Regions from separate parts of the Mus musculus genome. Here region 1 is reported to be linked to region 2. Evidence: microRNA targets listed by miRTarBase, many of them from high-throughput screens and not tested one by one. Region 2 holds a microRNA gene; the other region holds the end of a gene's coding sequence.

Region 1 (15,635 bases), not on the chromosome of region 2:
GGGGAAAGAGAGAGAGAGACAGACTGACAGAGACAGAGAGGAGACAGAGAGAGACAGGGGAGTTAGTATTAGAGTTAGTTACAGGCTGAAGTGGTGGTGCATAGCTATGATGTCAACATTTAGGATCAGGACTTCAAGGACAACCTGAGCCACATGAGACCCTGCCTCAAGAAAGAGAGAAGAAAACATACTTATACAGACTTTAGATCCAATCTCTTAGAAAAAAAAAAATCAAAGAACTCTGCAAAGGTCCAGATATATCCAGTAACTGCTAGAGATACTAGATTATAAATTTTTAAAAATTTTTTTAAATTTAAGATTTATATTTCTTTCATGTATATGGGTACACTGTCACTGTCTTCAGACACACCAGCAGAGGGCATCGGATCCCTGTTACAAATGGTTGTGAGCCACCATGTGGTTGCTGGGATTTGAACTCAGGAACTCTGGAAGAGTAGTCAGTGCTCTTACTCACTGAGCCATTTCTCCAGCCCCGATTATAAATTTTTAAGCAGAAAATAAATATACTTTTTGGAACAGAGTCTTACTCTGTAGCTCTGGCTGACCTGGAACTCACTATATAGAGTAGGCATACCTCAAATTCACAGAGATTCCCTCTGCCTTTGCTTCCTAGTGTAGAAATTAAAGGCCTGCATCACCACACTTGGTCCAGCTCAAAACTTTTTACATTTTTGTTATTTTGGTTTGAGACAGGATGTATTTCACTATGTGGTTCAGGCTGGCCATGAATTTTTTTTTCCTGTCTAAATCTTTTTAGTGTTGGGATTGCAGGTATACATTAGCTAAGTCTTAAAGCCTGTGTGTGTGCATTTGTGTGTGTGTGTTACAAGGTATGCATATACAGAGGTCAGAGGTAGACATCAGATGCTCTCCTCTACTGTGCTCTGCCATGTCCTGAGGCAAGGTCTTTCACTGAACCTGGAGCCCCACTTGTCGGATAAGACCCTGGCATCCTCCTTTCTCCACCTCCGGGCAGCGCAGTACCAGGCTCTCGGGCATGAGCAGTGCACCTGACTTTATGTGGATGCTGTGGATCCTTGTGCTTATCTGCAACAACCACTTTTCATGACTTAGACACCTCTGCAGCCTGTTTTTGTTTTTAATCTACTCTAGCTACAGAGTCTCTCTGTGGCCATTCTCGCCCTACCCTGACTGCTGCTGTTGATAAAGAAGCTAGGAGCATGAATGTAAATCACAGCATTACATCTGCTCTTAAAAGTATCCACTTCCCCTCCTTTTTTAGTTTTCCGAGACAGGGTTTCTCTGTGTAGCCCTGGCTGTCCTGGAACTCACTCTGTAGTCCAGGCTGGCCTTGAACTCAGAAATCCGCCTGCCTCTGCCTCCCAAGTGCTGGGATTAAAGGCATGCGCCACCACTGCCTGGCTCACCCTTAGTCTTATCTAATAAGAATCAACCCTAGATACCTCAGCTACACCCTTAGCCCTTTAATGTAACCATGTATCATTCTTTTCATAATCACTAAAGCCGTGTGTGTGCACATGTGTGTACACGTGGCATGTGTGCATGTGCGTGTGTGTATGTTCCTGTGTGTAGATGAAAGTATAGGCAGGTACACATGCATGTGCCTGAGATGGAGACCAAAGGGACAAGCTCAAACCCAATTCCTGGTACTGCCTACCTTATTTCTGGAGACAGGGTTTCCCACTGGTCTGTTTGCTGTTTGTTGTGAGTGATTATCTGCTTTAGGTTTTTTATTTAAGATTTCTTTGTTTTATGTATATAGTTTAGCCTCAGGTACCATGTCTTGTGCACCATGTACATGCAGTGCCTGCAGAAGCCAGAAGAGGGCATCAGAGTCCTTTAGAACTGAGAGTTACAGATGGTTCTGAGCTGCCTTGTGGGTGCTGGGCTCCTAGTGCTCAAGTTCTGCCAAGTACAGAAGAGGGGGTCTCCTGCGTCTGCCTTTGCATCAAGATGTCTCTCAGCTCTTCCAGCACCATGTCTGACTACAGGCTGCCATGCTTCCTGCCATGATAATGGACTGAGCCTCAGAAACTGTAAGCAAGCCCCAATTACATGTTTGCCTTTATGAGAACTGTCTTGGCCGTGACCTCTTCACAGCAATAAACTCTAACTAAGACATCAGGTTTGCTGGTTTTTACTCACTGGGTCATCTTAAACTTTATGTTTCAAGGATCAGGCACCACATTTGTCTGGCTTTTGCTTAACCTCCTGGCCCATAGTAAGAAACCGAGAAACGTTTCTGGAAAATCCAAGCACAGTGAGAGTGGCACGTGCTTATGGAGTCCCAGCTGCTAGGGTGGCCAAGGTCGGAGGATGCTTCTAGGAATTCTGTAACAGCCTGAGCAACAAACCAAGATTTCATCTCTTTCATGTGTGGAGGTACAACATGCATGGGTATATACGTATATGTGTGTATACACATATGTGAAGCCCAGAGTTCAACCTGGGGGTCTCTCCTCAGGTGCTATCCACTTTGTTTTTGAGACAGGATTTTCTCACTTGGCCTGGAACTTGCTCATTTTCCCAGGCTGGCCGGCCAGAGAGCCTTAGGAATTGTCCAGTTTAACTCCACACTGCTGGAATTGCAAGAATGTGTCAGTATGCCTGGTTCTTGGTTTTGTTTTCTTAACATGGGTTCTGGGAAATCAAACTCAGGTCTTCATGCTTATAGAAGAACTGTGTTATCTCAGTCCTATGGGACCCCGACCCCATTATCGCAAAAGAAAAAGAAGCTAGACATGGTATCACATGCCTGTAATGCTGTCCTAGAACCCGGGCACCTAAAGCAGGAGAATCCTAAGTTTCAGGCAAGACTGGGCTACATAGTGGGACCTACCTAAAAACAAAACAAAACAACAAACAACAAAAACACCACACAAGATGACTCAGCAGGAAAAAGGCATTGTCACCAAATGTGATGACCTGAGTTCAATCTTGAGATCTAAGTGGTGGAAGGAGAGAACCAACCCTTTCAAAGTGTCCTCCATACAGAGTGGTAATGCCACATCCCTCAGAGAAACCCTGTCTTGAAAAATTAAAAAAACAACAAAAAAAGTAAACAAATAATTTACAGTCAGTTCATCCATGGAGGATCAACTTCAGGATCTTTCCCCCTGCTCGCCCATCCAATTCTACCCAAACCCACAGCTGCTCAAGTCCCTTAGATAAAGTGGTATTGCATCTATACATACTCCACACAATTCTCTGTATCCACCTCGATTGTTTATAATATTTCATACAATATATGTGCAATGTTTAAGGAATAACGACACAAACAATTTTCATGTTTAATTCAGATGCACTTTCCCCTCAACATTTCCAGCCTGTGGTTGCTTGAATCAGCAGATGTGGGAACAATGGGCGTGAAAAGTCATTGTACACTCAAAAAAAAAAAAAAAATCCTGAGACCCCTCTGTCTCATATATAGCAGGTTATGGACCAGGAGGATGGAAGTGGAGCTGGGCCAGGAGGTGGAAGCTCTTGCCACGCAAACCTAATGGCTTGAGTTTTATTCTCAACCTGAGTTTGATACCTGGAACTCACAGTAGGAGAAAACCAGCAACTGAAAGCTGTTGTCTGACCTACAGATGTGCAGCACCTACAATAGTAACTTTTATTAATGTAAATATATGGGTCTAGAGTGATGGTTTAGTGGTTAAAAGCACTGGCTGCTCTTCCCTGGGACCTGGGTTTTGATTCCCAGAGCCCACATGACAGCTCACAACCATCTAGAACTACAATTCTGATGCCCTCTTTTGGCCTCTGCCAGCACCAGGCACACAAATGGTACACAGGCATGCAGGCAAAATACCCATATGTGTAAAGCAAAATGTTTACTATTACAAGCGATGCAAGCTTTGCAAGCTTTGCAGAATGAAGGCTACACATAGTCTTGTAGGATAAAAGGAAAACCAACCTGAATGAACGCTGTGCCCACTTTTCCTGGTCCACTCGGGGAGCTAGCCCAGACTTTCCAGCCCATAGGACATTGTCACAGGCAAAGTACAAGGCTCGGTTGAGGTGACTGACAGTGATGCAGAATCTCAGAACGACATCTGACAGGTGCACAGCCCTTTTGGCTGACTCCAGGGCATCTGTTGAGTTCCCCAGGCGTAGCACTTGTAGAGATTAACAAGGGAAAGCAAGGGTTTGAAGTCCAGAGGCAGGGGTGGGGGTGGGGAAGAGAAAAATAAAAGTTGAGCAAGCAATAATAACATACAGGAAGAAAGAGTAAAAATAATTTGTTCTTTTTCTTAACTTCCAATCGTAATTCATTTTTGTGCCAGTTTAGTGTTCTCGTGCCGTGTTTTTCCAATCAGTGCTAACTTCCTTATACCTGTTCTCTGACCTCAACTGGAGGCATGCAGGAGAGTGGCAAATGATGGCGAACTGGCAGAACGGGAGGAGAGGCCATGGGCTACCAGCTGAGGATGATAAGAGGAAGGTCTGCTTTACTTACACTTTCGTCCGAGGCTCAGATGACCCTCCAGTTGTCGAATCTGTTTCTGTAACTCGGGACTAGCCCCATGTCTCTGCAAAGCATGGCCGAGAAGGGAACAGGCATACTGGGCGGCCCTGGAGGGGAGGACACGTAGAGTAAGGGACAGGCCTCCCTAACCCCTCTGCCAACCATATCCTCCGTGGGCTGGTGAGGCGGTTAAGAGCACTTGCTCTTGCAGGGGACCCGGGTTCCACTCCCAGCACCCACACGGTGGCTCATAACTGTCTGTAACTCTAGTTCCAGGGATCCACCACTCTCTTCTGTCCTTTGCAGGCACTAGACACACATGTGGTACACATACATTCTTGCAGACCAAACACTCAGACAAATAATAATTGGTAAACAAAAACCCCACCAGGGACACTTCCTCGGTTTCACACCAATATCTTTCCATTTTTTTCCTCAAAGCCAGGGGAAGGGAAAGACATGCGAGGAAAATAAAGCCTAGAAGATGGTGGAGAGCACTCTTTGGAGTTAAGAGACTAAGAGTTTTGAAAATGATGAGGCCTAAAGTTTAGGGCCAGTAAGCAGCCCGGGGTTCATCGCAGACGTCCACACTGCGATTTTATACATGAAACACGACAGAGGAAGATCTAGTTGAAGGGCAGATTAGTTCTCCGGGTAGGTAAACTAAGAGATAGATTAAGGTTCTTGGACTGATGGAAACCGAAGAAGAGCCGAGATAGCGAGGCTCCTAGGTCACAACTGGTGAGAGGACGCAGAACCGAGAGGATCGCCCCTCGTGCCACCACAGCAGCGAGGAAACTGTTGCTCTCTGTGGACACAGTAAACCTAGGTGGCCTCCCCGCTGGCCCACTCATGCCTCAGTTTCCCCATCTTTCCCTTGAGCAGGGAAGAATCATCTCACAACCGGCTGCGGAGTACGCCTCCGGGGCCGCGCGGGCCCCCGTAGCCACAGCTGACCCTTAGGGACCCCGTAGCGCGCCCGTCGCCTCGCGGGACCCTGCTCTGCCCTCCCGCCCGCGCTCCTCCGTCGGCCGCACCTACACAGCCGCTCCCGGGCTTGGCTCTGAGCACTGAAGCGGACCCAGGCGTCCATGACAGCGGCAGCCCGGGCCCACGGCGCAGCGGCCCGCCTGCTTCCAGCCCCAAGTCACGCCTCCTGGGCGAGCAACGGGGCTTCGCGAGGGACAAACGGCGGCAGGAAAGCCAAGCAGCCGGAGCCGGCCTTGAAGTGGAATTTCAGGACGCGAAGCGAGATCGTGGGTGCATTTCCGGCAGCTCACCCTTCTCTGGGATGGTCTCCGGCTTTTAAGCACGCCCCTAGGAGCACATTCTGCTTTAAATTCTCAGCAGCAAGGGGTGGGGCCTGCGGGAGCCAGGAGGCGCTGTAGGTTGCCGCCAAGGCGCACACGCCACCCGCCCCAAACGCCCAGAACAGCAGAAGCCTGTCCTAGACTATTTGTCCTAGGGAAAGCGGATGTAATGAGATGCCGCTTGACAACGATGGTCTGCTATACTCAAAGATTGGTGCCTAGCCCAATTGTCATCAGAGAGGCTTCACACAGCAACTGGTAGAAACAAAGGCACAGACCCACAGCCAAAAGTTAGGCAGACCTTGGAGAATTTTGCATAAGACAAGGGGAAGGACTGTACAAGAAAATGCACAGAGTCAAGTAAACTGGGCCCATAGGGGCTCAGACTGAACTGCTACAGGGAGCCTGCATGAGACTGCTTCGCACATGCTATAGTTGTGTAGTTTGGTCTTCTTGTGGGACTTCTAACAGCGGGAACAGGGGCTGTCTCTGATTCTGCGGGACCCTTTCCTCCTGCTGTGTTGCCTCATGAAAGACTTAATCAAAGAAGGTGCCTAGTCTTACTGCAACTTAATATACCATGCTGTTGATACCTAACGGAGACCTGCCTTCTTCTGAAGAGAAATGAAGTGGATGGGGAGAGGCAGTAGGGGGGTAAACTCCAGGGGATCCAACACCCTTCTCAAACCTCAGCAGGTACCAGGCATGAACATGGTACACAAGGAAAACACTTTTACACCTTTACACATTATTTAAAAAAAAAAAAAAAAAAAAAAGCGAAGCCGGGCATGGTGGCACCCGCCTTTAATCCCAACACTTGGGAGGCAGAGGCAGGCAAATTTCTGAATTTGAGACCAGCCTGGTCTACAGAGTGAGTTCCAGGACAGCCAGAACTGCACAGAGAAACCCTGTCTTGAAAAACAAAACAAAAACAAACAAACAAAAAAAACTTGCCTGTAGCAGCAATAGCCTGACTATAGTTGTGAGGAGGAAAAAAACCAAAACAACAAAAAACCTACAATATCACAAACAAGATCTCTACAACCACTATAAAAAGAAATCTAGGGCTGGAGTTGGCTCTGCTGCTTTTCTACTGGCTGCTTTTCCAGAAGACAGATTGAATCCCCCATCCACATAGCAGCTCACAGCATCTGTAACTTCTGTTCCAGACGCTCTGGAGCCCTGTTCTAATCTTCTCAGGCACCAGGAACACAGATAGTATATAAACATACATGCAGGCAAAAACCTCATTAGATATTTAAACCAAAACCACTGTGTAGTGGTGGTGCATGCCTTTGATACCAGCCTTGGGAGGAAGAGGCAGGTAGATCTTTCTTTGTGAGTTCCAGACCAGCCTGGAGAAAGAAAGTGGGGTGGGGGTGAGGGAGGAGTCTGGAGAGATGGCTCAGTGGTTAAGGGTACAGTCTGCTCTTCCAGCTCACAACTGTTTCTAACTCCAATATATCTGACATCCTCACTTTACTTTTTTTGTTTTTTTTCGAGACAGGGTTTCTCTGTATAGCCCCGGCTGTCCTGGAACTCACTTTGTAGACCAAGCTGGCCTTGAACTCAGAAATCTGCCTGCCTCTGCCTCCTCTGAGTGCTGGGATTAAAGGCGTGTACCAGCCAAAATTTGAAAATTTTATGGTATAAAGAATGACATTAGGAATAGTAAGAAATTGCCTTTTTTTAAAGATTTATTTATTATTATATGTAAGTACACTGTAGCAGACGTTAGACACACCAGAAGAGGGCATCAGATCTCATTCCAGGTGGTTGTGAGCTACCATGTAGTTGCTGGATTTGGACTTAGGACCTCTGGAAGAGGTGGTTCTTACCCACCCGCTAAGCCATCTCACCAGCCCCAAGAAATTGCTTACTTCTTTAAGCTCAAGTTTTAAAGTCATAGTATGTTAAAGAGGGTTTCTACTGTACATGGTTAAGTTCTGTATAAAGAAGGGGAGTTAGAAGGTCACACAGTAAATTGATGAGGTTTCCCCCCTTTCCATCCCCTTTCACCCAGGACAAGATCTCATAGGCTAATCCTCCACCTGGCTATGCAGCTGGGGATGACTTCAACTTATGATTCTTTAGCCTTCACCTCCCCAGTAAGTGCCAGGATCAAAGGCAGGAGTGTCGTACCCATTTGGTCCTGTTATAAAGCCTGGGGCTGTGCATACTAGGCAGTCATTCTACCAACTGAGCCACATCTCTAATCCCTATGAGCTATTCTTATTTCTCAGAGTAAAGCCAGAAGAGCATCTTCCCAACTACGTGACCATACCCTTCCTATCCAGGCAGCTCACCTACTGGTTCTCTGGCTGATACTGTTTACCAGCCCTCAGGACCTCATGCTTACTCAACTCACTCTTCCAAATACCTTACAACAGCTAGAAATCTGAGAACCAGGCGTATCTTCCACAAAACCAATACTTATTTAATCTACCTTCTCAGAAACCACCAAGGCATCCTAAACCCTGCAAATCTCAACTAAGATATATTCTTAACCAATTCAATTCAAACCCCAAGCAATTTATCAAAAGGAAGAGAAGGGCCAATAGCATCTGAAAAAACGTTAAGTTTAATATTTGCCATTATGCACTGGGGAGAGAGAGACAGGAACATCAGTCTGAGGCCAGTGTGGGTCACATAGGGACCTACACAAACAACAAACCAGCTGCTACAGACATACCAAAAAATAATTTCAACTAAAAACTATGATAAAAGCCGGGCAGTGGTGGTGCACGCCTTTAATCCTAGCACCTGGGAGGCACAGGGGAGACAGTCAGGGCTACACAGAGAAACCCTGTCTCAGAAAAATTAAAAAAAAAAACAAAACCCCCCCCCAAAAAAAAAAACAACCAAAACCCTATGATAAAGGGATAGCAATGTCTTTTTTTCTTGAGACAGGATCTCTCTGTGCAGCCCTGGCTATCCTAAAACTCTCCTGTAGACCAGGTTGGCCTTAAACCAAAAGATCCACCTGCTTCCCAAGTGCTGGGATTAAAGGTGTGCATATTGTTACATAGTACCCAAGCTGGGTTTTTTTTCTTAAAAAAAAAAATTATTTATATGAGTATGTTGTAGCTATCTTCAGAGGGCATGGGATCCCATGGTGAGCCACCATGTGGGTGCTGGGAATTGAACTCAGGACCTCTGGAAGGACAGTCAGTGCCCTTAACTACTGAGCCATCTCTCCAGCCCATCAAGCTGGGTTTCTTTTACATTGTAAGAACTAATAAACTTCACAGTTCAGCACCATATTCAACATAGAGTAGGCTAAGCATCACAAAGCCCCTGAAGTTCAAGGCCAGCTGCACAGGCTCTGACAGAGAAGCAAGAGACACTAATATAACATCTGCTCACAAGAGTTATGCAAAATACATTCCTTAATTCCACAAGAAAAATCTCATTATCCCTACCCTTATCTTCTAAGACAAAGAAATGCTGAACAGTCTCCATGAGCCTTTCTAGAAACTTAGAATGCCACGCCAGACAGAAGGATCTTCACAATCATTCACAATGCCCCACTGTAGTTGTTCAGTTTCCAGAACAGTAAAGTAATAAACATAGAAAACAAAATGGAACATTTATTTTTTTCTAAAACTCAAAAGCAATGCCAAGTAGATAGGGTAAGAAATTAAATATAAACACAAGGTCCGCCCTAGCCCTGTTTATCCAAGGCAGCATAACCAAATGGACTTGTAGAGAGACCACCCAGTCGACAGAGGATTTATCAACGGCGTCTCCGGTCTGGACTCCTGCTTCGTCTTCGGCCTCCTCTAAGAAAATGAAAAAACAGAAGGGGAATATCAGAGATCTAATACTGAATCCTTATTTATCTTGCTCATGTTCCCTTTACTAAGATAAATAAATGTACAACCCCCATCCCTTCATCTTACCTCCTCTTGCCCTTTGGTGGTCCACGAACAAAACACCAGTCCACACTGATTGGCTGCCCCATCAAATCTTGACCATTTAGTCCTTCCATGGCAGCCTGAGCCTCTTTGTATGTTTCATATTCAACTAGAGTATACCCCTAGGGGAGCATATAAAAGTATCAAAGCTTAGCCAGGCGTCACACACACACTTTTAATTCCAGCATTAGAGAGGCAGAGTCCAGCCTAGTCTACAAAGTGAGCCCAGGACAGCTAGGGCTCTGTTATACAGAGAAACCCTGTCTCAAGACAAACAAACAAACAACAAAAAGTATCAGAATTTTACTTCACCAACCAAGTACTCTTTTCCTTAAACCAGAAATGCATAGTTACAAGAAAAATTTCGCAGCTATACACCACATATCCCCATTATATACACAAACATGCTCATTCTGTTTCTGTCTCTTTCATGTGGGTAACAAAATCAATTTCCAATGTCATTTCACTTCCTACCTGTGCTTGATCAACTCACAAAAACAACATAATCAATGTATCTAAGAGTTGTAAGTGAGGGAAGCAAGAAAATCTACCTTCAAGTATCCCGTGCGCCTGTCCAAATTAAGGTGAATATTTTTTATTTCCCCATATTCAGCGAATTTGTCATGGATATCTTCTTCAGTGGCTTCTTCGTGGACTCCAGTGACAAAGAGAATCCAACCTTCAACAGCTGTTGGGTAGGGAAAGTGTTGTATGAACATGTAAGCTAAAAAGCCCAGTATTCAGGAGGCAGAGGCAGGCAGATTTGTGAGTTTGAGGCCAACCTGGTCTACAAAAAGAGTTTCAGGACAGCCAGGGCTTAACAGAGAAACCCTGTATCCAAAACAACAACAACAAAAAAACCCAAAACCAAACAAACTAAAAAAGAAAAATTCTGAAAAGAACCTACAATAAGCAATTTTCTGAGACTGGTTAAACAACTCTTTACTTTGCATTTGAGTGCCAGTGCACACAGACTCCCCATAGGTCCTATTTACTTACAGCGCTGTGGTCCAGGTTCATCGCCGTCCTGCTCCACACTGTCGTAATCCTCCCGCATCCGCGCTCGGGACCCCTCTTCTAAAAGAATTCATACCAGATCACCGAAAACTGTCCTCCAAATGTGTCCCCCTCACACTCCCAAATTCGCGGGCTTCTGCCTCTTAGACCACTCTACCCTATTCCCCACACTCACCGGAGCCAAAGCCGCGGCCCTTCCGTTTCTTTGCTTTTTCTTTTAGTTTGTGGATGCTTTCTAGAGTTCCAGGTGAGAAAATAAGAAGCAACAAAAATAAGAGTCATTTGAAAAAAAAAACAAAAAAAACCTGTCGCGTTTCCTAGACTATCTGGAAGCTTCGACACAGACTCCAGCTTCAGTCCCTTCCCAGTTCCGCCCCTAATTCCTTTCCCAAGGGGGAGGAGTCTATCTTTTCAGACCCAGTTCGTGGGGTGACGTCCCAGGAAAATTTCTACTGCATTCCCCTCTCGCACCTTCCCCTCTTCCCGCAGTCGCCTCCACTCTCCTCACCGTCCCCATCCTCATCCATGGCGAAATCTTCGCCCCCCGCCTCGTGAAGATCCAGCACGTCCGCCATCTTGCTTCTCTCGGCGCTTTCTGAGTCTCTAGAAGCTAAGCACCTCGGGAAGCTGTCGCAGAAGAAAAACGTCACGAGTTAGGCTGACCAATTAAAGGTTGCCTCCAAGTCCCGCCCTCGGCGCGGTGAAAATTCGCCAATGTAGGCGGCCCCACTATGAAGCGCTAGAAACGTCCAGCACTCTGGGACCCCGATGGAGCTCTGCGAGTATGAGGCCGTAGGCTACATGGTTTGTGATTGTGTTTTGTTTTCTTTTCTTTTGAGGCAGGGTCTCTCTATATAGCCCTAGCTGGGCTCGAAGTTACAGATATCCAACTATATTCCCCTTCCACATGCTGCTGGGATTAAAAGCCTGTGCTACCACGCCGGGCTCCAAGGCTACAGAATGAGACCCTTTCTCAAAAACATAAAAAGTAAAATAAAGTGGTTTCGGAAGTTCTACAGCCAAGTTGATCAGGTAGATTGAAGGTCCGGAGCGCAGCCGCGTTGGGGCAAATTTAAAGGGTGAGTGAAGTCAGTGACTTTCTCATAAAACTTTCAACTAGCAAGAAATCCTTTGATACATATCTACATATATGGGTTTATTGAAATGACTTACGGGCTGCAGTCCAGCTAATTGGAGAATAACTAGATGTGTCCAGAAAGTCGAAGAATCTAGTATTTGCTTAGTTCCACAAGGCTGGATGTCTCAGCTGGTCTAGAATCCAGAAAAAGTAGGCTCCAGTGCCGGTGAAGAAACGGACTTATGAGCAAGGCAAAGTGCAAAAGTTTCCTTCATCCATGTTTTTATATAGGCTTCAGCAAAAGGTGTGGCCCAGGTTAAAGGTGTGCCTGCCCGCTTTAATCCCAGCACTTGGGAGGCAGAGGCAGGCAGCTTTCTGAGTTCGAGGTCAGCCTGGTCTACAGAGTGAGTTCCAGGACAGCCAGGGCTACACAGAGAAACCCTGTCTCCAAAAACAAAAACAAAACAAACAAACAAAAGATTAAAGAAAAGCCTGTGTCTTCCTGCCTCTAGATGTAGCTCAGAGGTGTTCTTTCCTACCTAAAGTCTGGACTAGAAGTGGATCTACCCACTCCACCAAACAGAAAATCACAGGTGTGCCCCTCATTTCTGGATTTGTAGTTCATTCCAGAGAGAGTAAGCCTGACAACTGAGAAGAACCATCTCAGGTGTTTTTGTTTTTGTTTTTTTTCTTTTCAATACAGGGTTTCTCTGTGTAGCTCTGGGTGTCCTGGAACTCACTCTGTATTTCGAGGCTGTCCTCGATCTCAGAAATCCGCCTGTCTCTGCCTCCCAAGTGCTGGGATTAAAGGCATGTGCCACCACTTCCCCGCTCAGGTGGTTTTTTTTGTTTGTTTATTTTTTATTTATTTGAGTACACTGTAGCTGTCTTCAGACACATTAGAAGAGGGCATCAGATCCCATTACAGATGGTTGTAAACCACTATGTGGTTGCTGGGATTTGAACTCAGGACCTCCAGAAGAGCAGTCCGTGCGCTTAACCACTGAGCCATCTCTCCAACCCAGTTTGGTTTTTTTTTGTTGTTGTTTTTTTTTTTTTGGGGGGGGGAATTCTGGTTTTTTTTTTTTTTTAAGATTTATTTATTTATCTATTATATGTAAGTACACTGTAGCTGTCTTCAGACACACCAGAAGAGGGCATCAGATGTCATTACAGATGGTTGTGAGCCACGATGTGGTTGCTGGGATTTGAATTCAGTACCTCTGGAAGAGCAGTTAGTGCTCTTAACAGCTGAGCCATCTCTTCAGCTCCTGTTTTGCTTTTAAAGAGTTGTCTTGGTCATGGTGTCTGTTCACAGCAGTAAAACTCTAACTAAGACAGAAGTTGGTACCAGAAACTGGGGTAATAGCCTGACCATGTTTTTGGAAGATTGTGGATTTGGGGACTTTCGGTTTGAAAAGCCATGGAATGTTTTAAGTGGGGCTTAATGAGCCATGTTAGTAGGACTATGAAAGACTTTGTTGCTGTTATTTGAACTGTGCAGACCTGGCCCAAGAGGTTTCAGTGGAGAAGAACTTAAGTATGTGGCCTTGTCTCTGGTAATTCAATGCTGCCACCTGGCCCTTGTTACCTCGGGATCCAATTAAACCCATTGCATTTAATTCATCTAATTGAGCAACAGCATCTCCACCCCTAAGGTCTGGCACGAGAAAAAGGACAAGAACAAAACTCTTCAAATGTGCTGGTGCCCCTCTCACCAGTTTGGGTCTTACAGGATTCCTGAAGGGCCTGTTTTCTGGGCCTTCCCATTGTGGAGGATTAAGCTTTACACAATGTATCCACTCTAGTACTGCAATTTCCTTGAGCCTTAAAATCCCTTCCTCAACACTAAGCCAAGGGATATCAGGTATCTTCAACTCCTTCTCAGTAGGCCATCTTTTGATAATTGCTTCAGCCAGCCATTCAAACTTCTGACACCTTTTTTTTTTTTTTAAAGATTTATTTATCATTATATCTAAGTACACTGTAGCTGTCTTCAGACGCACCAGAAGAGGGCGTCAGATCTCATTACGGATGGTTGTGAGCCACCATGTGGTTACTGGGATTTGAACTCAGGACCTTCGGAAGAGCAGTCGGTGCTCTTAACCACTGAGCCATCTCTCCAGCCTCTGACGCCTTTTTTAACTGTGCGAGTTTCCATATTAAACCTAGAATCTGGGGCTGGTGAGATGGCTCAGTGGGTAAGAGCACCCGACTGCTCTTCCGAAGGTCCGGAGTTCAAATCCCAGCAACCACATGGTGGCTCACAACCATCTGTAACAAGATCTGATGCCCTCTTCTGGAGTGTCTGAAGACAGCTACAATGTACTTACATATAATAAATAAATAAATCTAAAAAAAAAAAAAAAAAAAAAAAAACAACCTAGAATCTCCACTCAGAGGGCCCATGTCTATAAACTCAGCCTGATCTAGTTTTATGTTCCTTCCACCATTATCCCACACCCTTAAAATCCCTACCACACTTAATCCCCAGAGTTCTGCTTGAATGAATTAGCAAACTCATTAAGCTCCTTAGTATAGCGAATTTCCTCATGGACTACACTTTCTACCTTCTTGGGGCCTGCTTGGCCTTGAGTCTGGTTACAGGTCTAGAAGAAACTGTTGGTGGGCCTTGAGGAACGTCAGTATTGTCTGGCTTTTTCATCAGAGAAAGTCACTGCTGGTTTATCAGACTCTGAGGGATTAATTTCCTTAAGTGAAAAGGGCGTTATTTCAAGGGGTGGGGCTGAGAGTACTACCTCAGGTGAGGTGAACCCTTGAGAATCTGAGGATTCAGAGTTCTCAGTTTCAACAGGGTCCTCCCACACATCCCCATCCCAAGATATAGGATCCTTTTCTTTGCCTATTAATGCCCTTACTTTAACTGCTGACCCCCTCTGAGGCTGAGACTTGAATTTTCGCTGTAATTCAGCCAACCTTAGCATGAGGGCTTCAGTTTGATTTCCTGCAGCTTGAGCTCAGTGGCTGCTGGAGAAAAGACGCTCTTCAAGGGCACACATAGAAACCTTTAGACGGTTTACTTTGCGTCTGGAGCGGTTCAGTTTTATCATACACCTCATTCCTTTCCTTCATCAATTTTTTTCCCAGAGATACTAAGCAACAAGCCAGCAAAATCATTTTCCGATTTTAACCCCAACATGGCCCTGACTTCAGTACTTGGGAAGTAGAGGTAGAAGGATAAAGTATTCAAGGCCAACCTTGGCCACATTTGGAAGCCAGCCTTGGCTACACAAGATCCTGTCACAGGGGAAAAAAGTCATTCTGGCTTACTAGACAAAAAAACATTTTTAATTGTGTAAAATTTTACATAGAAAATACATAGAAAGTACGAAAAGGATAACCAAAATCTTCAACGTCAAAAGTGGACAGAACAATTTTTCCCATGTTCTTTGGAGTCTTGGATTTTTGAGAAAAATAATTCCAGGGGGTACAAGGACAATTCTTCCCCAAACTGATAACCCTTAACCCATCTGACACAAAGAAAGGAGCACAGGAGAAACTGCAGGATTCGTGGCATCGAGGTTATAACTATCAATTTAAAACGTGACACATGCCTTTAATCCCAGCACTTGGGAGGCAGAAGCGGGCAGATTTCTGAGTTCGAGGCCAGCCTGGTCTACAGAGTGAGTTCTAGGACAGCCAGGGCTATACAGAGAAACCCTGTCTCGAAAAACCAAAAAGAAAACCCAACAAAAAACAGTGACACAAACCATGTAATGCAGGAGCCTCTATTCTAACCCAGTGTGTTTTATGAAACAAGAGACAGAGCTAAGCTAACTAAAGGAATCCAAGTACCCCTTTCTAAGCAGTGACACTAT
Region 2 (15,635 bases):
TCAACATTCCCCTGAAATACAGGTCCTGTGCTCAAGCCCCAAAGGCGTTTTTTCTATTAGCAAAGGAGATAGGATGGCTCAGCTGCTGCTCCTCCCTGATAATACCAGGGAGAAATTTGCAGGACCTGAGATAAAGAAAATGGGCTCCTCCAGAAATGATTCTGCCTATTTGGTTGTATCTTTGAATGATAGACCTAAGCTCCGCCTTAAGATCAACGGAAAAGAGTTTAAAGGCATCCTTGATACCGGAGCAGATAAAAGTATAATCTCTATACATTGGTGGCCCAAAGCATGGCCCACCACAGAGTCATTTCATTCATTACAGGGCCTAGGATATCAATCATGTCCCACTATAAGCTCTGTTGCCTTGACATGGGAATCCTCTGAAGGGCAGCAAGGGAAATTCATACCTTATGTGCTCCCACTCCCGGTTAACCTCTGGGGAAGGGATATTATGCAGCATTTGGGCCTTATTTTGTCCAATGAAAACGCCCCATCGGGAGGGTATTCAACTAAAGCAAAAAATATCATGGCAAAGATGGGTTATAAAGAAGGAAAAGGGTTAGGACATCAAGAACAGGGAAGGATAGAGCCTATCTTACCTAATGGAAACCAAGACAGACAGGGTCTGGGTTTTCCATAGCGGCCATTGGGGCAGCACGACCCATACCATGGAAAACAGGGGACCCAGTGTGGGTTCCTCAATGGCACCTATCCTCTGAAAAACTAGAAGCTGTGATTCAACTGGTAGAGGAACAATTAAAATTAGGCCATATTGAACCCTCTACCTCACCTTGGAATACTCCAATTTTTGTAATTAAGAAAAAGTCAGGAAAGTGGAGACTGCTCCATGACCTCAGAGCCATTAATGAGCAAATGAACTTATTTGGCCCAGTACAGAGAGGTCTCATGCTGGTTAATCAACTCATAGATCTTGTCCAGATACAACTAGATGTATTATGACAAATAACTCAGCAGGGATGTGAACAAAAGTTTCCGGGATTGTGTGTTATTTCCATTCAGTATGTTAAATTTACTAGGGCAGCTAATTTGTCAAAAAGTCTTTTTCAGTATATGTTACAGAATTGGATGGCTGAATTTGAACAGACCCTTCGGGAATTGAGACTTGCCATCATTCAGGTCAACTCCAAGCGCTTGGACCTGTCCCTGATCAAAGGATTACCCAATTGGATCTCCTCAGCATTTTCCTTCTTTAAAGAATGGATGGGGGTGGGATTATGTGGAGATACACTTTGCTGTGGATTAGTGTTGCTTCTTTGGTTGGTCTGTAAGCTTAAGGCCCAAACTAGGAGAGACAAGGTGGTTATTGCCCAGGCGCTTGCAGCTCTAGAACATGGTGCTCCCCCTGATATATCTATGCTTAGGCAATAGGTCGCTGGCCACTCAGCTCTTATATCCCATGAGGCTAGTCTCATTGCACGGGATAGAGTGAGTGTGCTTCAGCAGCCCGAGAGAGTTGCATGGCTAAGCACTGCAGTAGAAAGGCTCTGCGGCACATATGAGCCTATTCTAGGGAGACATGTCATCTTTCAAGAAGGTTGAGTGTTCAAGTGTCCTTCCCCCAGGAAAAACAACACGGGACCAGACCAGGACCCCTCTGGGTGATGAGCCTGGGAGGAGGTTATGTGTACGGCTCCTTTACCTGCACACTGGGGATTTGACCTCTATCTCCACTCTCATTAATATGGGTGGCCTATTGCTCTTATTAAAAGAAAAGGGGGATCTGTGAGGAGCCGCCCTCACATTTGCCATTATAAGATGGCACTGACAGCTGTGTTCTAAGTGGTAAACATAGTCTGCACACATGCAGGGGCAGTTTTCCCACCATGTGTTCTGCCTTTCCCGTGATGACAACTGGGCCGATGGGCTGCAGCCAATCAGGAAGTACTACATCCTAGGTGGAGGATAATTCTCCTTAAAAAGGGATGGGGTTTCGCCATTTGCTTGCTTGCTCTCTTGCACTCTGGCTCCTGAAGATGTAAGCAATAAAGCTTTGCCGCAGAAGATTCTGGTTTGTTGCGTCTTTCCTGGCCGGTCGTGAGAACGCGTTAATAAGAACCTTGCAGAAATTAACCATATATAAAAATACACCAGAAATAAATTGTCTAAGACCAGCAAATCAAAAGAAGAGGGAAAACACATACCTTAAAAACAGAATAAGAACAACAAACAGTGATCACTGAACATCAGTTGTCTAAATTCCTCAAAGAGAAGATACAGACTTAGTTTGGGCTTGTCAACAGGTTCCATCCTTTCACTATAAGAAACACAATGTGCTGCCTAGTCCTATGTAACTTGACATAAACTAGAGCTATCTGAAAGGAGAGAACCCCAGTTGAGAAAACACATCCAATATATTGAGCTGTAAGGCATTTCATTAGTGATAGACGAAAGAGGGCTCAACACATTGTGGGTTGTGCTTATCCCAGTACAATAGTCCTATGTTCTATAAGAAAGGTGTCTAGGCAAGCTATGGTAAGCAAGCCTTAAAGAAGCATTCCTCATGGCCTCTGCATCAACTTCTGCCTCCAGAAGTTCGTTCTTAAGTTCCTGTCATAACTTCCATTGATTGTGAACAACAATATGCACCTTGTTTTTCAGTTATGGTGTTTCATCACAGCAATAGAAGCCCTAAGACAGGCACTATAGTTAACACCTTATCATCAAGTACAGATATCAACTCAGGATACAAATATGGAAAAAGATTTTTCTAAGAAAATGTGGAAAAAGAAGCAAGCCTGTATAGCTATTTTAATATTGGACAAAATAAACTTAAACCCAACACTAATCAGAAAAATATGGAAGAAAACTATATAGTTATCAAAGGAAAGAATCCACCAAGAGAATATTGCAATTGTAAACATGTAATTAAAATGCTGAAGCTCATAAAGGAAATACAACTGTAGTTTAAACCACATACTGACCCCTACACAGTGATAGTAGGAGACTTCATTATCCCATTTTCATCTCATGAGATCCAGAAAAAATCTTTGATAAAATTTAATATCTATTCATGGGAGACTAGAGATGTAAAAGATATAATACAATATATAATATAAAGACAAATTATAGCAAGTCCACACTAAGCACCAAATAAAGGAGAAAGAAACTCAATGCATTTCTATCAAAATCAGGAACAAGTCTCCATATTTTTCCAATATAATACTTAAAGTCTTAGCTAGAGAAATAAGGCAACTGAAAGAGAGTAAGGGTATATAAGTAGGAAAGGAATAAGCCAAAGTATATTTGCAAATGATATGGTGGTATACATAAATGACCCTAAAAACTCAACTGGGAAACTCCTTTAGCTGACAAACACTTTCAGCCAAAAAACAGTATAAAAACTAACACACAAAAATAAAAGCCCTTCTCTACCCCAATTATAGACTAAGACAGAAATCAGTGAAACAAGATGAACCTCAAAAATACCTTGGAATAGCTGTAACAAAACAAGTAGATCCATGAAATAAAAACATTAATACACTGAAGAAAGAAATAGAATCAGAAGAGGAAAAGTTCTCTTATGTCCTTGGCTTGGTAGTATTAATGATGTGAGAATGCTCATACAATCAAAAGCAATGTACAGATTCAATGCACTCACCATCAAATTTCAAACACAATTCTTCATAGACATTTAAAAGAAAATTTAAAATTTCACATGTACACATAAAATCTCAGGATGATTAAAACATTCCTAACTAAAATGTGCTAGAACTATCACCACCCCTTGATCTCATATTGTACTACAGATCTATAGTAATAAAAGTTTCATGATATTGATATAAAACAGACATATTGATCTATGGAATTGAACTGAAGACCCAGACATATGCCCATACACCTATATAAAATTGATATTTGATAAAGTATCTAGAAATACACACTGGGGGAAAAAAGACAGCATCTTCAAAAATGGTGCTGCTCAAACTGCATGGCTGGATGTCGAAGAATAGAAATAGACCCACACATTAACTTCCACAAAACTCAACTCAAAATAGTTCAAGGACCTTTAACCTAAGTTCATATACACATGATCTGATAGAAGAAAAGTGAAGAATAGTTGAACTCATTGCAGAGGATTTTCTGAACAGAATACTGTGATAGCAAAGGCAGAAAGAATAAAAATTCACATATTATAAAGTACCTGATGCTTATTTAACAGGGAACTTCTACTTCATGTTGAGGAAGATAGGATTCCTTTCAGAAAACCACCAACTATTGCAATATTTTACAACTTCACAGGTATGACTTTCTCACAGAAAAGAGGATAACTGAACCTCATAGTTATTTACTCTTCTATCCTCAGAAATGAGAGTGACAACGTCCTTCAACCTTGCATGTCTGCCCATTCAACCCTGACTACCCAAGACAACAGCAAATGAAGACTATGAAGAGCTTTACTCTACCTTGAATGTTATCTTTCACTTATAGTTCATGCAGTAAATACCATTCTGAGTAGACTCGTTTCCAGAGGATGTATACTGATTTTTTCTAAGCCCCCAGCTTCCATAACATCATCCATATTATTTCAATATCAAGAATAAAGAGGAGTTGCAGTCTATTCTGGTAGGTTTTAACTGTCAACTTGACACAACCTAGAATTATACAATGTAAGAAAGAGCCTCAATGGGCTGGTGAGATGGCTCAGCAGGTAAGAACACTGACTGCTCTTCCGTAGATCCTGAGTTCAAATCCCAGCAACCACATGGTGGCTCACAACCACCTGTAAGGAGATCTGACACCTTCTTCTGGTGTGTCAGAAGACAGCTAGAGTGTACTTATGTATAATAATAAATCTTTGGGCCACAGCAAGCAGGGATTGAGCAAGTGGAGTTGACTAGAGTGAGCAGAGGTCCTAAAATTCAATTCTCAACAACGATATGAAGGTTTACAACCATCTGTAAAACTACAGTATACTCCCATACATTATATATATATATATATATATATATATATATATATATATATATATATATATATATATATATTAAAAAGAGCCTCAGTGAGATGATTTCTACATTAGGTTGGACTATAGCAAAGTCTGTAGGTGATTATTTCAGTTGTTAATTGCATGAGGAAGATCTACCCTGAACACAGATGGCACTATTTCGTAGGCTCAGCTCTGGATTAGGGCTGGAAAGAGATAGGTTAGATAGGAGAGAAAGTTAGAAAACTTCCTGTTCATGTATTAGACACAGTTTTGGTACCTAGCATCTATACTAGGTAGTTTGCTACTGCCTACAACTTAAGATTTAAGAGATTCAACATTTCTTCTAGCTTCTGAAGCCACCATCATGCCCGTGATACATATAAATATATGCAGGAACATAAATATTCATAAAATAAAAGTAAATAAAGGAATTTTTCAAAAAGGGATAGAAACTATCTGACTATTAAGCAAGCAAGGATGTATTTATTCTTTGTTCTTGACTGTGGATGTGATATGACAAAGTCCTTGAGTTCTTGCCTTGAATTCTCCAGAAAGGTTAACTAGAACCTAGAATCATGAGCTGAGATAAATCCTTTCCCTGCTAAATTTCTTTTTTGTCAGGATACTTTATCACTATAACATAAATTAAATTAAAAACACATTCTAATCTTATTTCCTGAGACTCAGAGAGTAACTAATTACTGTTCTTCACTACACATTCTTCTCATAGCATTCCCTACTTCCAAGACTTCAAACTCATTATTATGTTATTATTTTCCATATTAATATATCTTAAGATGTTTCATATTCATATAACACTAGAATTAAAATTATGAAAGCAACAACAAATCTATCATGGGGATGTCTGTTTTAAAGTGACTGCAATGTATCTTGAAATCAAGAAACTCATCCACTGTGTGAAGACTATGTCCATGTGGCTACCACCCTTGTATTTGTTGAACCTTACAATACTGAGAGATGTTGCAGTTACTCATAGTACAAAGTGACTGCTACCCATTCTCAGTAATGCATTGCACACAGAATATTGAGTGAGGAAATTAAGTCTGAAAGAATTAAAAGATATTACAATTTTTTGGACTATCAAGTATACATATATAATAAATTTCTTTCTTCACAATTAAGATAAGAGCAATTATAATCTTCTTTACCTCCATTTAGCTTTCTGAAGCAAGTGATTTATAAACCATTCACATGACTTTTTATTACATTACATTGATATAATATAGTTTATACTTTATATTCTCATGATATGAATAACTGAAAACACAAAGACTACCTAGGTCATTAGATACAAAAGGTTTACATATGGAAAAAACGATTTCAACATTACCTACAGAAATGAAATCATCACTATCCCAAAGACAGATCAAGTGAGGAATATAGTCTTCTTGACTTGAAGGAGATAGGTATTTGTTATAGTCACTTAAAATCTTACAAGCACAATGTATTACAATACCTGTAAGTTACAAAGATATTCCGAAGACCCTAAGATTCAACCACTCCATATTTTTTCCTCTAAGCATTTCCTTTAACACTTGTTCCACTGAATTTTTGTCAAAACCAGAGAGATGAGATTGATTTCATTTTGGTTTTTTACATTATATGTGCTTAGCTTATACTCACTGATTAGTGCAACTCACAGTTCTGATGAAAAGTTGTTTTCTCTTTGTCTCTGTCTCTCTCGATAGGGTTTCTCTGTGTAGCATGGGCTATACTGGAACTCACTCTGTAGGCCAGGCTAGCCTCAAACTCAGAAATATGCCTGCCTCTGCCCACCCCCCAACCAGCCCCCAAATGCTGGGATTAAAGGCATGCACTGCCCAGCAAAAGTTTTTTGTTTTTGTTTTTTAAATAAGACAAAAGGCTATTTTATAAAGAATCACAACTTGTCAAAGTGTAAACTACTGTCTTTTGTACATGATAAGGCTGTTTCACCAACACACTTTCAACAGTTAATGGTTGCTCGTACAAGATTTGCAAAAGACTGATTGAGGAAGGGTCCATAATTCCCATATCTAGTTCAGGCTGCTAAGGGAGAGCTAGTATTTTTTTAAGGATAAGTCCCCTGATCAGTTAGGTGCCCATTCCCAAGTGGTAAGTATGGTCTAAATTATGTACGTGTGCATGAAGGTAATCCCTGCCTCGGGTTTCAGGGATCACATGAAGACAGACATTTGGTGTTTTTTACTCGTTAGAACCATACTGAGGTTAGAGGCATGAGAAACTAAATGCCAGGTAGCTTACACTGTACCACTGGCATATTCTACCATTCTTGTCTCTTGAAGTAATAGGCCACATGAAACTTTATGCCTAGCAACTGGCGTCTAGGTGCAGATTCTTGTTCCTGAGATCATAGGCTGTTCCCAGAGGAAACATGAACTCATTGAAGAATCATTCATCAAGTATCTTCACGACTGAATTTCATATAGTCGCTGAGGCAAGATGAGCTAAACTGAGAAAACACTAAATATAATCCAACTGCCCAGTTAAATATAAATCCAAGAATTATATTTTTACCTTCAAGATGCTACAATAAGTTCATGAGGAATATGGTGAGCATTTTTTTCATCTAGAGAAGAAGTACTTACATCTATTTCTCATGAAGGAATCCAACATAGATGGAATGCCATTGATGTGAAACTTCATGTTAAATTGCAGAAACTTCATTATTAAAATCGTTGCCTTCAGATATCCCATCATTATTTGTAAAACAAGATATTTATACCTTGATTTGATTTAATTGTAAGTTCTAGAGAATAATAAACTCATATCCCTACACCATTCATCTTTCTGAAAGCAGGTTTTTTTACCTGTACAATCTTCAGATGAATGCTTGTCAATACCAAGAACAAAAGCTTGATCATGTTTTCCTTTCTGGAATTATAACCATGGTCATGTCTTTTGCCTTGTTTAATTGTCCTTGTGCCAATTTAGTTTTTCTTAGCTTGACTTTATTAACAGGTCAGATCCAAGAGACCAACAAACCAATAGACAACTGGTTTCCTCCCAAAGTTCAAAGTAAAACCCTATTCTAGAAGGCACCTCACATTTCAGAAACAGGATTTGGAAGAATAAAGATGATATTGGCCTAGACTTTTTCTCTGAGGACTGGCTTTCATGATATCAGAAGTTTCAATGCAAGCTGCCAAGGTAAAGGAACAATTGGAAGTCTTACTCAGGTTTAGAGCCTGCTACAGAAGAACAAACTAGTCACATCTGTCAGAAGAAAGTGAAAAATCAACAAAATCTACCCCAGATATTTTATGACCTCACAATCTTTATAATCTTGAACTCTATAATCATATGTACTGATAGCTCCTATGAAATAAAACTCAATTGCCCTTTCTATTGTATTTCCTACATATTTATAGTAACCTCCTATTTACTAGGATGACTGCCAAAAACAAAACCAATAACATCATATTAATGTTATTTGTTGACATTAAAGTGAAATGTGTCTTCTAGATTTTTATGTTTGTAAATCCATATGTTGTTCCTCAAGGGGATATTGGAGAAATGAAATTATCCTCAGGAAACAAAACCTAGATGAAGAAAACTAGAACCAGAAAACCATTGTAAAGGTATACACTCAAACCATGTTGATGGTATAAAGCAACAACAATTGAGGAACATGGTAAGCCTTCCTATACATAGTATGGCACCTTTCACTTTTTGTTTAATGTGAAAAGCACTATACTACGTAAAGCACTGCTCACAATATTCTTCATATAAACGTATTGCAAATGAGGCCTCTATCATTTACTCTACCACTCATAATATGTTACCTGAATCATTGTCTAATTTATTCTTCAATCTTAGAATATAATATTTATTGTAAAATAGTACACATTCTTATAAGATCATGTCCTTCCTATCTTACCTTCTGTTTATGAGAATTGTTCTCATTTCTAAGATATTAAGCTGATTCCTAATTTTTCTTCCTTATTTTAGTACACTCCTTTAGGTTCTTGATACTTTTTGCCTGTAACCCACAAATTAAAAATAAAGATTATGTCATGAACACATCTTAAATATGTCTGCTATGACAGTGACTACAGAGCATTCTATCATAAAGTAACATACTGTTGGTTTGTGTACATGTACACCACAAAGTCTACATGGTACGCCTGCAAAATTGTATTTGGAGCATGCTAGACATGGAAGAGTGACTTCTGAATAATGCAGAATATAGGACTTGTAGAATGAAGTGTTGCACTTACGATGTGACCATTATAAAATTAAGGCCTACCTGGGAATACACTTTCTGGAGGCACTTATTTCCAACATGTCTCAGAAAGGCATGTGAAGGATAACTGCTGTTACATATTCTAACCAATATGAAGAACATTATGAACTTTACTTTAACCACCATGGTGGTTTTCATAGTCATTCACTTGATAAACACCAAGGTGAATAAAATACAGCCCATAAGAAACTTAACTTCATCTTGAGCTTTCAACATATATGTTCAAGTATAGGGGACTTGCAACATGACCTAACATATTCACAAGTCTTAGTGAATATAGTAGACAATACCTTTTACCATACATGTTCAAAGGGATCCCTCTCACATTCATTTTGTGTCAACAAACCGCTTTGAGTAAGCTTGTTGCCATTTTCTTTTTCAGATTATGGAGTCACTGAAAGTTCTTTCTGTTTTTATTCTTTAAGTTTTTATTTAAAAATTTGTTTTCAAAGAATATACTTTAAGCATGTTAGTCATTTCCAACTCATTCCACAACTTTTTATGTAAAGAAAGCATTTCTCAGATAATTTCCATAATCCCCAAAGACATGTATGAAGACATGTATGAATTCTCCCATAGTAACATGATATAATACTAGTAAATTTCTTTAATATTCTCAGGAAAGGAAATTATACTACCTTTTCCCTTTTCCCTTCTTCTACATGGTTTTATTTAGATCCCATGTAGGAGGAGCTCATTCTTTTGTGCTTCTTCATCTATGTACATTTGCAAGGTAAATTGACAATACAAAATATATCAAGTAACCCTAACTCACCTACTAATATAAAAGTGACCTCAATGTTACTTGAAGTGAAAAGTCACTGCTATTTAAGACTATAAATCAAGTGAGAAACATGATGAATTTTAATAACCCAGAGAGAACCTAGTCAAATGTAGTCCCAGTATTCAGCATGAGACTAACTCCAAAATGTTATTTAACCAATTTTAGCAATAACTTAGCAAAAGCTTCATTATCCCTCTCAAATTTTATCAAATTGCCAATTTACGACAATACCTAAACTATTAAGAGTTATGAAGATCATGCTATCCAAACTGTTTAATTTCTCTTTGCATTTCTCAAAAATGAGAGCTGACGCTTTTCTTAAAGGGAATAAGGATTGCCAAAGAAGAGAATAAGATTTGTACCATATTTTCTTGTATGAACAAGTTCTCTCATGTCCTCTATTTCTTTTTATTCCTCTAATGGAAAAGTATTCATGCTAGGGTAATACTGAGTGATAGAGCATCTCTCATAAAGTATCTGACTAAGCACTCTTAGGACCAAAGCACCTGAGTTTAGGGGTAATGTACCTACAATGACATCACCAAAAAGTTGTATCTACAAACTGCAGTGGGGGAGGCTTACATTAACTCAGAGACACAGAAACAAGGAGAAAAAATAAACTTGTACATTTAAATTTTTATTTTCAGTATCTTAAATGTATACATTTTTCATTACTTAGCAATTTCTGTGACATCTATCACATCATCTATCATCTATCACAGCACAATACCTGAAAATCCATGTATTTTTTATAACTCTGAAGTGATGCCAAATTCTTAACCTCTGAGTCATCTCTCCACCCCAGTGGCAGCCTAGAGAATAAGAAAAGATTTTTACAAACTGCATTATCTGACAGAAGACTAATATGCAAGATATATAAGGAATTTAAAATTACATATAAAAATCCAATTAAAAATAGGGTATAGGTCTAAACAGAAAATTCACAATAACAGAAACTCAAATGAATGAGAAACACCAAAATAAATAAATGTGCAAAATCTTTAGCCATCAGGAAAATTCAAATAAAAACTACTTTGATATTCCATTTTACACCTGTCAAAATGGCTAAATATCAACATGTGACAACGTGATAGAGAAGATGTGGGGCAAAGGAAACACTCCTCCATTGCTAATGGGACTGCAAACTTGTACATCAAAAATAGAAAATATGGTGGTTCCTCAGAAAGTTGGGAACTGATATATCTTAAGATCCAGCTATACTTCTTTTGGGCATATACCTAAAGGATCTTCATCCTACCACAAGGACAAATGCTTAACCCTGCTCATTGCCGATCTATTCATAATAGCCAAAAATTGAAAACAATCCAATTTTTTAAGTGTCCCTCAAACTGAATAAAAAGCCTGTGGTACATTTAAACAATGACGTATTACCTGTTAAGAATGACATCATGAGACTTGCTGGGAAATAGATGGAGCTAGAAAAATAATCATCCTATGAGAGTTTTAAAAAGACCCAGATAGAAACATATGGTAAGCATTTACTTCTACGTGGATATTAGCCAGTGAATAATGATAACCAAACTATAACCTCTTTAGCCAGAGGGGTTACATATAGCAGAGGGAATAGTTTGTAACAATTAATGAAAAAGGACACTGTAAATTTGGAAAGAGCAAGAAGGAATATGGAAAGTTTGTAGGGAAGAACAGGATATAATTATATAATAATCTCACAAAGTAAAAAAAAAAAAAATAAAACCAACAACTTTTTCTATTCTATCACTTTTATCTAGGTAGGATGCTATTGGAGGCACTGTCTGTTATTTAGGGTGGCTCTTCTCATTTGAAATAATCTGACCCTGTTGCCTGTGGCTCATCTATTAGCTGATTCCAAAAAATCAGTCAAGCTGAGAGCAATAGTTAGTCATTATACCATTACTACCTAGAGGTGATCAAACTCATTTGGTTTCTTGAGCCATAACCCCTAGACAAATAAATAAATGTATGCAGTATGTATGTATGTATGTATGTATGTATGTATGTATGTATGTATGTATGCATGCATGTAAAACTAATCTGCAAACACTTAAGCAATGCTGAGTGGAAAAAGTAGCTTTTCACAGGGATAAGCCAGCAAATTAGTTATTTAATACCAAGTAGTCTACCATATTATATACATACTCACATATTTATGTGCACACGTGTACACACACACACACACACACACACACACACAGAGAGAGAGAGAGAGAGAGAGAGAGAGAGAGAGAGAGAGAGAGAGAAAGGGGGCCATATGGGAGAGTGGAGGGTGGGAAGGAAAGTGAGTCAGAATTATATTTTAATTCAAAAACTTAAAATTTCAAAAGAGAAAATACAAATGCTAATATTCTTAATGTCTATTGTGAGAATTCGAGTAGCAGCAAACCTCAAAGTTCACTAAAGAGCATCTAAAATGAACATAAACATCATTATATGCGACATACAGGATGAAACTTACAGTACATGTAGAATGAAACTGTTCTCATTTAAATCAAGTCACCATCAGCATCACAGCATAAAGCAGCAAACAAGAAGCTTATAAAGAATCTTCTTATTATGCCTGGATGCCATGCCCTCTTGCTTATCTGAAAGTCTGATAAAACAAATATAAGACTATATTCATTTTATTTTTTCAGATTAAGAATAAAATTATCAATGTCCATATTTGTATTAACATATCTAAATGTGTTCTGAAGGTTTAAATTAAGTCCTCCTTAGAGGATATAGTTTCTGAAGGCACAAGATCTTAACAAAGATCGGGAAGCATTATACTTAACACTGCAATGATCTTCCAAGGCCACAAAAAAAGAAGAATGTTATGAGCCTTAATCTACATAGAATGGCATCTCTCATGCTTACATGATTTACATGATAGGTACCAATCTACGTAGATCAATGCACATGAGACATTTTATATACTTCTGATAGAAAGCTAGTCTGTCACCTTCAATTAGAAATCATAACTCCACAATTCTTGCATTCTTACCTCATTTAGTAGTAAATCTTAGAGAATACCTACCAATTCTACTATATCATGATTTTCTTTCACATAGTATCATCTTATGTCACCATTTCTATAAATAGTTTTCACTACAGCTAATATTCAGTTTTTTTATTCAAATTAATACATCCAGCACGTTTTACTTACTAAAAATGTTTTTCCCTTACAATATATTCTGATCATGCTTTCACCTATTCTCAGATCTGCCCTACCACCTCACTCATCAACCCCAAACATCTTTCCCTTGATTTAAAAAAAATGAACTAGCAATAACACAAAACTCATCAAAATGAAAGTTAAAGAAAAAGCAAAAATCAGAGAAACAGTTACCATTACAACTATGCATGAAACATATATTTATTATTTCTAAATACTAAGGATAGTAAAACATACTTTTACCTTGTCAATCTTGCAACCTAGCCTATATCATATTCTTTTTTTTTTCCTATATCATATTCTAACACCATGGTGGGAAAGACATGCGTACATAAATTACCTAATTTTTATTTACTTATTTATTTATTTTATTTATTTCCTAACTTAATACCCTCCATTCATATAGTCTCAAAATTATTTGTGAACCAAATGATAGTAAAATATTATCATATAAAAGAATAATATTTCCTACAAGATCAAATGGCCATCTAAAATCCCAGAAGCCCCAAAACTTTAAGTTTTGGAATACCATTTTCATATTCACGAAGCCACAATAAATGAGTAAAGTTTTCTTCCACTTAGAGGTAAACACACATTTATTTCTGTTAATTGGAAAATTATATTCTACTTATAAATACTATAAAACTAGATTAACTTAAGGTTAAAAATAAACCAAAAATGTGAAGTCCCGCTTAAAACTCTTAATTATCACTCAAAATTTATCAATTCACCCTACAGCATAAAATATAAACCTTAATTGTATTTATATGTCCTTATGAAATAATTCTATAGTATTCTTTCCCACATATTTCCATCTAGTTATTATGAGCAGTTATTTGCACGAATGGCTGTCAAAATTGAGATTAAACCAGGAAAAGCTCATGATTCCTCAATCCTACACAAAGAACTATACACAACTAGAAAAGCCAGTATTGGGAGATGTCTCCTAACTCCCAGCACTCATGGAAGAACATTCCATTTGGTTGTCTAGTGCAAAACATTCATCCTGAAAACATACAAACAAGTAACACTATACAGACTTAGCAGAATATATTTAGGAATAAATAGCTATATAAAAATACATCAATACATTCAGTAACAATTATTGACAAACATCATCAATTTGAGGGAGAGCAGGGAGGGAAATATGAAAGTGTTTGGAGGGAAAAATAAGAGGTATAAATATTATAATTAAATTATAATTTAAAAATATACTGAACTAAATCTGTAATTTAAAAACATGTAATGATTGTTGTATCTGAATGTTTATAAATCTTGATGTGTCTGCAAGGTTAACATTAAAGAATAAATGCCACATGAAACTCAAGAAGAATGACACATGAAACTCAAGAAGAATGAAGACTGAAGTGTGGACACTATGCCCCTCCTTAGAATTGGGAACAAAACACCCATGGAAGGAGTTACAGAGACAAAGTTTGGAGCTGAGATGAAAGGATGGACCATGTAGAGACTGCCATATCCAGGGATCCACCCCATAATCAGCATCCAAACGCTGACACCATTGCATACACTAGCAAGATTTTATTGAAAGGACCCAGATGTAGCTGTCTCTTGTGAGACTATGCCAGGGCCTAGCAAACACAGAAGTGGATGCTCACAGTCAGCTAATGGATGGATCACAGGGCTCCCAATGGAGGAGCTAGAGAAAGTACCCAAGGAGCTAAAGGGATCTGCAACCCTATAGGTGGAACAACATTATGAACTAACCAGTACCCCGGAGCTCTTGACTCTAGCTGCATATGTATCAAAAGATGGCCTAGTCAGCCATCACTGGAAAGAGAGGCCCATTGGACTTGCAAACTTTATATGCCCCAGTACAGGGGAACGCCAGGGCCAAAAAGGGGGAGTGGGTGGGTAGGGGAGTGGGGATGGGTGGGTATGGGGGACTTTTGGTATAGCATTGGAAATGTAAATGAGCTAAATACCTAATAAAAAATGGGAAAAAAAAGAATAAATGCACCTTACTAAACTTTGGTCCTTTAGATACAAATGCCAAATTAAGGCCAGCAAGCTCTAACAAGGGTTAATGCTTCTATACCACAATGATGTTCCAGGTGATGAACATAGTGAACCTTCCTCTACCTTATATGGTGTCTATCATCATTTATGTTTTACATGATGGACAACAAATTAGGTAAAGCAGGGTACATCATACCTTTAATATAAAAATGTTGCAAATGTAGCTTCCATGATCCTCTTTATCTTTTAGCAAAGTACCAATTGTACATTGTTGCTAAAACTTGACATACTTTGTGTATAATATATATACATATATGTACACACACACACACAATCTACAAATTGTCACCAAAAATTCCTCCAAGAGAATATCCTCTGATGTGTCTTCTGTTTCAATTAATGGTATTCTCTACCAAGACAATACGGGGGACTGTAATTTCACTTATATAAGTTAGAATTTCTCGTTGAAGTTATTTTTCTTCCTCCTGTAACATGCAAG

The links. Region 2 holds the annotated microRNA mmu-miR-883b-5p (UACUGAGAAUGGGUAGCAGUCA, at 5,956-5,977, opposite strand). A microRNA usually pairs through its seed, bases 2 to 8, with sites in the 3' UTR of a target mRNA and lowers its output. Matches are read on the target gene's strand: a 7mer-m8 pairs with bases 2 to 8, a 7mer-A1 pairs with bases 2 to 7 and ends in A, and an 8mer does both.
Region 1: the mRNA of Rbm8a is a reported target of mmu-miR-883b-5p. Seed matches in the 3' UTR shown: 7mer-A1 at 8,967-8,973.

What each region holds. Positions count from the first base shown.
Region 1 is chr3:96,625,620-96,641,254 of GRCm38, reverse strand. It overlaps Rbm8a (RNA binding motif protein 8a), which reads right to left and starts at 11,327. Exons shown (of 6, transcript NM_001102407.1): 1 at 11,227-11,327; 2 at 10,894-10,953; 3 at 10,701-10,778; 4 at 10,253-10,389; 5 at 9,687-9,823; 6 at 7,464-9,566. The coding sequence starts at 11,293. The coding sequence ends at 9,521. It overlaps Pex11b (peroxisomal biogenesis factor 11 beta), which reads right to left and starts at 5,825. Exons shown (of 4, transcript NM_011069.3): 1 at 5,512-5,825; 2 at 4,466-4,581; 3 at 3,923-4,124. The coding sequence starts at 5,567. It also overlaps the pseudogene 6330549D23Rik.
Region 2 is chrX:66,783,981-66,799,615 of GRCm38, forward strand. It overlaps Mir883b (microRNA 883b), which reads right to left and starts at 5,987; the gene lies at 5,910-5,987. Mir471 (microRNA 471) reads right to left here and starts at 8,681; the gene lies at 8,615-8,681. Mir741 (microRNA 741) reads right to left here and starts at 12,895; the gene lies at 12,825-12,895. Mir463 (microRNA 463) reads right to left here and starts at 15,317; the gene lies at 15,243-15,317.